2 linked regions of the Lonchura striata genome follow. The protein of the gene in region 1 purifies or fractionates together with the protein of each later gene. This does not show direct contact. Links are inferred from orthologs where the notes say so. Each region holds a gene or a part of one and is shown in the gene's direction. Other genes may lie near its edges.

Region 1 (3,750 bases):
AAATGGAGAAATACAGACACTGCAGGTAAAGCAAATGTATGATGATGTACTAAGCATTTATTAGCAGAAAAAAAAAAAAGACAGACTTATTTCACTGCAGTGTTATAAACAAACTAAACCCCAATGTATTCTGTACAAATTTAATTCAGTTACAACAGCACATACAACACTGCAATTAACTTTTAAATGTATAACAAAAGTTATAATATTAATAAATATTACAAGTAATATTTAGATAATGTATTTATTACCAGGTTAGAAGAATAATACCAGGAAAGGAGAAGATTAAACAAATAAATAATATAAATAATATTTAGATAATGTATTTATTACCTGGTTAAGAGAATAATACCAGGAAAGGGGAAGATTGAACACCCGTAGAGCTACTGTCTTCAGAGAAAATCGTGTCTCAGTAACAGCTTCTTCTGACATGGCTCCTTCTCTCCCATACCTCATTAAGCAAAACTATCTTGAAAACAATCACAGATGGTCTCTGGAAGACTCTGTCAAAAGAGGGATACACACTATGAGGATGCAAAGGATGCATAACTATGCAACAGAAGCCCAGAACATTTTTCTTCTTCAAGCTCGAATCTCTTCAATCACTGGTACATGACCTGTTTGATTGATGGTCTTGAGTAGAGGCAAGACTTAAAGTGGAGACAGCAAATCTGCTGGTTCAGCTTAGGCCCGGAGTGTCAGACTGCTGTGTGCAGATGTGCAGCTGAACAACCACCAGGACTAAGGAGGGCTCGGTCTGCTTTGACTACCGGCCGCTCCCGTACTATCGCCTCTAAGTCACGCACGGCAACAACCCTGCCTCTGAAACCACCACTGCTGCAAGAATTAAAAGATTGGCGAGCAGCCAAAAAAAGTTTATCTCATTCAGCGCTTCGTTTATTTTGCAGACACTCCGCGAGAAACAACCCCTACAGCCTGACGTAATCTCCCCGATGCAGGCGCACCGCTCTCACTCCCCGATGCTGAACACCGGGCGAAGCCTCCGAACCGCGACTCCGGGACCGCAACCGGGGCACTGGGAGGTGATGGAGGCCTCGGGGCAGAAGCCACCTCCGCCCAGCCCGGCCGAGCCCTCTCCAGCCCGGGCAGCCCCGGCATGGCGAGCGGGCAGGATCGAGGGCAGCGGGCACAACCGGGCGCCCCGCGCGCCCCTCAGCCCCTTCCCTGCAGCCGCCCGGGTCAAAACGGGCGCGCCGCTCCCCGGGCCCGGGCTGGGTCGCTACAACCGCCGCGTCCAGTTACCCACCTGCCCGCCGAGCACCGGGGCGCGGGCAGCTCGCTCTGCTCCGGCCCCGGCGCTGCCCGGAGACCGGCGGGATCCGCTTCCGGCAGAGGGAGAAGCGGCCGCCGTCGGCCGGGAGGAGCCGCTACCACGTGAGGGAGACCGGCGGCGTTGTGACTCCGCGCCCGCCATGTTTGCTGCGGGCAGCTCCGCTGCGTGCGGCCGGGCAGGGGCGGGGTGCGCGCCTGGCGCCGCCATCTTTGTGCGGGGCAGCGCTCCCATGAGCGGCTGAGGCTCTCGGCGCCGCCATCTTTGTGCGGGGAGCGTCCCGCGGCGGCGTCGCGGCAGCCGCGCCCGCCCGGCCGCGCGTGTGCGGGGCGGCACCGGCGAGAGCCGCGGCCCGGGCGCGCCCGGCTCCGCCACGGCAGCCCCGCTGCAGCGCCGCTGTCCCCTCAGGCAAGGGCGAGACGCAGGGCTGGTCGCAGCCCGGCTGAGCTCCGGGATCCGTGCGCGGCGCATCTTCCCGGCTGCTCCGGTAAGAGAGGAAGGGCCCGCTTGGGCAGCGTCGGAGGGTTCGGTGTGGCGGGGGCCGGGAGCGCGGCGGGCCGTGTGTCTGGCTGGTCCCGCAGCCCAGGGCGGCGGTGCGGATGGCGGCGGCCTCGGGAGCCGCCGCGGTCCCGCAGCGCGGGGCGGGGGCCGGAGCTCGGCGGTGCCGGTCCGGGGCGGCGGGGCCGGGAGCGGCCGCAGAGCTCCGCGGTCCCGGCTGAAGTTGCGGCTGTGCGGCAGCGGTGCCGTGGGTACCGCGCGGTGCCCAAACGCGGCAGTGTCCCGATAAATGGCCCTGCTCGCTGCCCGAGCTCCCCGCGCCGGTGGATCATCGGCTGCAACAGCCCGGGGGAAAAGTCCCGGGGATCACCTAGTGGAAAATCACTGTAGGCTTCTCCTGCGCTTAGGCAAAGCCCGAGTTGGGAAAATCCTCTTAGAAATATAGAGGTTAGCTAATGGGTTTCATAGTTAGGATTTAGCGTGGTGGAAGAAGGAAACGAAAGAGTGGCCTGTGTGCCCTGAAAGCCAATATAAAATGAAAACTGTCTAACCTTGTAAGAGGATATACCCTCAACTCCAGGTTATTTTTAAATGTCTTTTCTCCGTGGGAACAGTACTTAAGGGCAGAAAAAGAATGTAATGGAAGTGACTTATCAGTTTGTGTCTTGCTTGAGTGGGTAGCTCTTGGTGCCTGAGGAGAAAGACCAGGTACCTTTGACCAGGTTACTGAGCACACTTTTGTCATCTAGTGGGAAAATACTAGGTTTTATGCTAAATAGATATTAAGTAAGTTCTCTACCAGAGCTGGGATTGGTGGTGTCATTTTTTCAAGAAATGGGATGTATTTGTTTATTGTGGATAGATTAAAAAGGGTAAAAATACAGATGGATGGGAGATAAAATTCAAAACTACTTATTGATTAATGGAATATAAAGGAATCTAGGTCAAGAAATAGGAAAGATGAACCTTAATTTGACACACTAAAAAGCCTAAGTTTGGTAAAAACATCATTCATGTACAAAAGTAATTGAAGGAATTTCTGTAAAGTTTAATTAAAACAACATATATTGATATTTAGAAAAGTGATTAAAAATATGTATCTTAACAATCTGAATATGCCTAAGGCTATCACTTCAGTAGGCTTTTATAGCTTTGAGTGAATGCTGGTGGGTTTTTTCTGAAGTGTGGAGAATGGTAATATGGTTAGTAATTACTGAACTTCCAGACCTCCTTAGTATTCTGAGTAATTAAGTGTTCAGGTACAAAGTTGCACCCTGTGTCACTCTTGCTTTGTTGCTAGAAGATATAAATAAATGTTAAATGAAATTGTTCCACTGTATCACTGGTAAAATAAATGTGAGTGCAACGAAGAAGCCTGAACTTACAGATTACTGGTTTGAGATGCTGTTATTCAAAGCTGTACTGACAAAATAATAAAAGCCTGTAATGAAGACACAATGGCTGCTTCATGTAATTGATGTCTTCAGAATAATTCTGTTATTCTTAAAATCTTCTGTCAGCATTCCCTTACTGAGTTCTGTAAAATGATCTGCTAAAATGACTCCATATTTAGAATATGGAATAGTGGAATACATAAAATATACAATTGTTTATTTGAATATCTGTTGAAATGTTAACTACTATAACTAGGCAGATGAAATAATTAATGCAAAAAAAATTTGAAAGCATTCAAATTCTGTTTAGTTTCTTTAGGAAATAGTGGGTTCCTTACATGACCCAAAGGTAATTTTTGAGATCAGTTGAATTTAATAGTGTTTGCTGGGAGTTTTCTGTGGGTGTGATAGGTTTTCCATGCTAGGCATCACACAAGTCTGTGATGCTGTGGAATTCTACTGAATAATAGATAGGTTGATGGTCATGATGCATTGAATCATGGTCCACATTTCTCTGATGGTTCAATTTTGGTTTTCTTGGAGGGTGAAAAGACAAGTCAGGAACAC
Region 2 (3,750 bases), on another chromosome or scaffold:
AGAAATTAGTGTCTTCAGCTGGTCACCTTCTAACTGGTTCTTGTGCAGTATTTCACTTGCACTAATAATTTTGAGCTCAAATTTCATAAAGAGCGGTGGTTGTGAACATTATAAATTAATAGATGCATTATTAAGATGGAAATAAATTACTTTGTCTCTTTCTTGGTAATTGAAGTTGTATCTAGAAATTACTCCAGTACTTTATTTTAAAAAAAGGCTCTCAATTCTGCTGCTTGGTTACATCCATACACGACAAGCAGCATGCAATGTGTGAGGCAGAAGATCAGCTTGGAGAATACTATTTCATAGCTGTTTTGTGAAGAAAGTAAGTTTTACTGTCATATAAGTAACAATTTTAAGTATTCTCAAAGCTGATGCTTATGGTGCTAAAGGACTAGAAATTTTGCAGTTACTTTTACTGGATATAAATGTAGACTTTGTGCAGACTAAAGACCTCTGTCACTACTAATGAAAAGCCCTCTGGTCTTATTATAGTGATTTCCAGCTCTCACCATAAAGCTTTTCTGGGTCTTCACAACTCATGTGGAATGATTTCATAATTGTGGTGAAAGGGGTAGGCAGGGGTAGCTGTGCTCCAGCTCTTCCTTGAGACTGTTTCAATGACCCTGGGGATGCTCATGATCTGGCTCCCCAGTACTGATGAATCTGGGGTTCAATTCCTTCCAGCAGCTCTGCTGGGAGCACTGGAATCTGCTTGCACTGGGTGCCCCGAGGCTGCTGGGCTGCAGGGGGAAGGTTTGTTAGGTAACACAGATCCTCTACACAGTTTCTCAGATGTACTGCTCCATTTATGCAGCATCTGCTGACAGAAACCTGTGTGGGAGGTGGTATTGTTTGTGTTATTTTCCCTAGAAATAGAAGATACTTGTGCTGAATAAGAGGCAGAGTTACTGCATAGCTTTTTTTAAAAAAAAAAAAAAGTTTCTTTTTTAAGCATTTATCTTTCATCTTGGATATGTTTGTTATTTTTTGCCCTTTCCCCCCCTCTGTGGGTAAGGGGGAAAAAGCTTAAAAAACTGTGTTTTTTCTGCCCATTGATAAACGTAATGAGATTTGAGTGTCAACATTAAAATGTTCCGTGTCATCAGCTCTGTGAAACTGCAGTGAAATATGGAAGCGAGGGAGAAAAAACTCCTTTTTCAGCCTGGCTGTGTCCCCTGCTAGGGTGCTGTGGGGAATGTTGATAAACACTGGGAAGGGCTGAGAGGTGGCAGAGGCAGGTGAGGAGCCGGTGGCTTCTGAGGGACCACAGAAATCTGCCACTGCATCTCCTCCTGCGTCTGAGTGCCAGAGGCTCCTAGTTAGGGGAAGCCTTTACAACTCTTCTGGTTTTTGCTTTCCCTGGATCAAGGAAATAAGCGATGCAATGGAAATTTTTAATAAACATTTCTAGCAGGAATAATATTTTACATCTCCCTCTGCCTCTGCTGAGTAAGTGCTGTCAGCTCCAATTGTTCATTACTAAGGAAAGTCTTCTCCAATTCATCTCTAGCAGTACTCCAGGTAGAGGTGATTTATTTTTTTTTTGTTACCTGGCATGGCTGTGCTGTCACTGCTGCTGCTGCTTGGGCTAATAGACATAACTGCTGCCGTGGACGTCGCACCTAGAATAAAAGCGGGGTCAAGGTGGAGAGGTGAAAAGAATCGTGAGTAACCCGGGCTTTTCCTTCTCTTCTTCTTCTCAGCTCTCTGTTTGAAGAAATGTGTTAGGCCTCATTTCACTGTGTAATTCTTCCTCTCTGTGAGGTTGTTCTCTAATAGCAGCCTTAAGGCCATGTAATTTAAGTATTTAAATATGCATATGGAAGGCACGGGCCACACCTTCCGTGAGCTCCACACATCTGCAGTACAGTCCTGTGTGCAAGCTCTCCGGACTGCCTGTGCTGATTAACTCCTCTCTTCCCAGGGCTTGGGAGAAGTCCAGGCTGCACCTTTTTTCTTTATATTCTTAGCATTTTGCACGCTATTTCAGATGTTAACTTTAATAAAGGCAGTAAATCTCACAGGTCTGCAGTTTGCGTAAAGAACCTTGTAACCCCAGTGATTATAATAGTGAATTTTATAGCTATACATGCATAGCTGTGTCTTAAAATCTGCAGATTTAGGTAAGGGGATATAAGGTAGAATTGCAGCTTGTGAAGGGTTTAGCAGTGCTGCACTTATAAAGAGAAAAGAGCATTTACTATTAGAAAAGGAAAGTAGATGAGTCATCATAATATTTGTGAGTGAGACTTCCTACTGCATACACAGCTGCTTGACTGAAATAACCAGATGATTATTTCCATTTAAAGGGCAACTCAATTCTCGCTGACATTGCTCCTTTTTCCTGTCCAGCTATTTATAAACAAGAATGCCCATGATGGGCAGCATAATATTAGCATTATGCCTGTAAATATTTGCTGAGGTTTTGTTGTGGTTTTTTGCTTTTTTTTTTTTTCCTTTTTAGAAACACTTACAATACTAAAAGAGAGAAAGAATATTCAAAATGGAATAAAGGGCTTTTGTTGAATTCAGCTAAATATGATATTGTTGCTTGGAAAATATATGTGATGAAAATCCCTAAAATAACCAGAACTTGGAGGGTTGGCTGTTGTTATTCTTGGAATAGGTGTTACTTTGTCAGTCCTCTTATCTGGAAGCTCATCTGCAGCTTGAGCAATACTTTTTTTTTCCCTAAAGCATGAACCTAATATCAATAAATTTGCTGCTTCTCCCAGTGCCCATATCAGTAGCATTAAGGAAGGAGGTGATGGGCTCAGTGGAAGTGAGGACTGCCCTGCCCACTCACAGGTACTTTACATCTAAAGCTCACACTGCCCAAACTATAGCAGGGAATAAATGTGTGCGTAAGGGATGCACAAAAATAGCAACCCACAGCTTATAAATATTTGAACATATGAACTTGTTATGACTAAAAGAGCCTTTTATTTTGCTCATTGTGGAAACTGAGGCACAACTGACATATGCTGAACGAAATTTTTTCACAGTATGTTTCTTTCTCAGTAAAAATACCTTCTAAAATAAGTATCTGTATATCTGTTATGAAGAAAGCCACATTCAAGAGTAAAACTACTGTACATTCATTTTTGGTTAATTGACTTGCAGGTATTTAAAAATTTCTGATTCTGAGTATTCAGTCTGCTTTTTTTCCTGTGAAGAATTGAAATAGATGGTGATATAGGCATTAATGTCTCACGAAAACATTAATAAAGTTAATCATCTTGGGATGTCATTTAGCCATGATAAGTAAATCATACAAATATTCAGAAGTTTAAGACTACCACCTGTTTGAAAATTGTTTTGCATCTACAATGTTTATTTAATGTCACCTGTATTAGCTATTAGACCTTATGGATTCATATTACTTGCTTTCTTCTCTCAGGACAGGGTGCTCTCAAGCCAGCACATTAGCAGATTGCTATATTTGGTTAAAGGAAAAATAAGCTGTAAATTCATTTTATAGCATCTTAATATTATATTACTTGATTGCTTAGAGGGATCAGTTGTTGAATGTGTTAAAAGTTATGGATCTTAATCAGCTCTCCTTGAAATTAAGAGATGTTTAGAGCAGACTTTAACGTTTCTTTTATTTAGATTTTAGAAGCACTCTCACCAAGAACAAGAAGATTTTACAGGGATGCCATTTCTTGTGTACTATTTGGCTTTGCTATCCATGATGTCAAAATTTTTCTAGTAGTGGGGGTACAGATTATCACACAGAGCTGGAGA

The links. Proteins that work in one complex are often made in the same cells at the same time.
Region 2: the proteins of USP33 (region 1) and ROBO1 purify together in Homo sapiens (affinity purification with western blotting; 5 studies listed by BioGRID and IntAct, with this or other methods). This does not show direct contact. The link is inferred for Lonchura striata from reciprocal best matches to the Homo sapiens genes USP33 and ROBO1.

Annotation. Positions count from the first base shown.
Region 1 is NC_134611.1:15,816,634-15,820,383, reverse strand, and holds the start of USP33 (ubiquitin carboxyl-terminal hydrolase 33), read left to right. Parts: upstream 1-1,615; 5' UTR 1,616-1,778; intron 1,779-3,750. Other genes in the region: MIGA1 (mitoguardin 1), read right to left, coding at 334-456. UniProt on the Homo sapiens protein: Deubiquitinating enzyme involved in various processes such as centrosome duplication, cellular migration and beta-2 adrenergic receptor/ADRB2 recycling.
Region 2 is NC_134604.1:10,877,241-10,880,990, reverse strand, and holds the start of ROBO1 (roundabout homolog 1), read left to right. Parts: upstream 1-1,118; 5' UTR 1,119-1,558; coding exon 1,559-1,667; intron 1,668-3,750. UniProt on the Homo sapiens protein: Receptor for SLIT1 and SLIT2 that mediates cellular responses to molecular guidance cues in cellular migration, including axonal navigation at the ventral midline of the neural tube and projection of axons to different regions during neuronal development.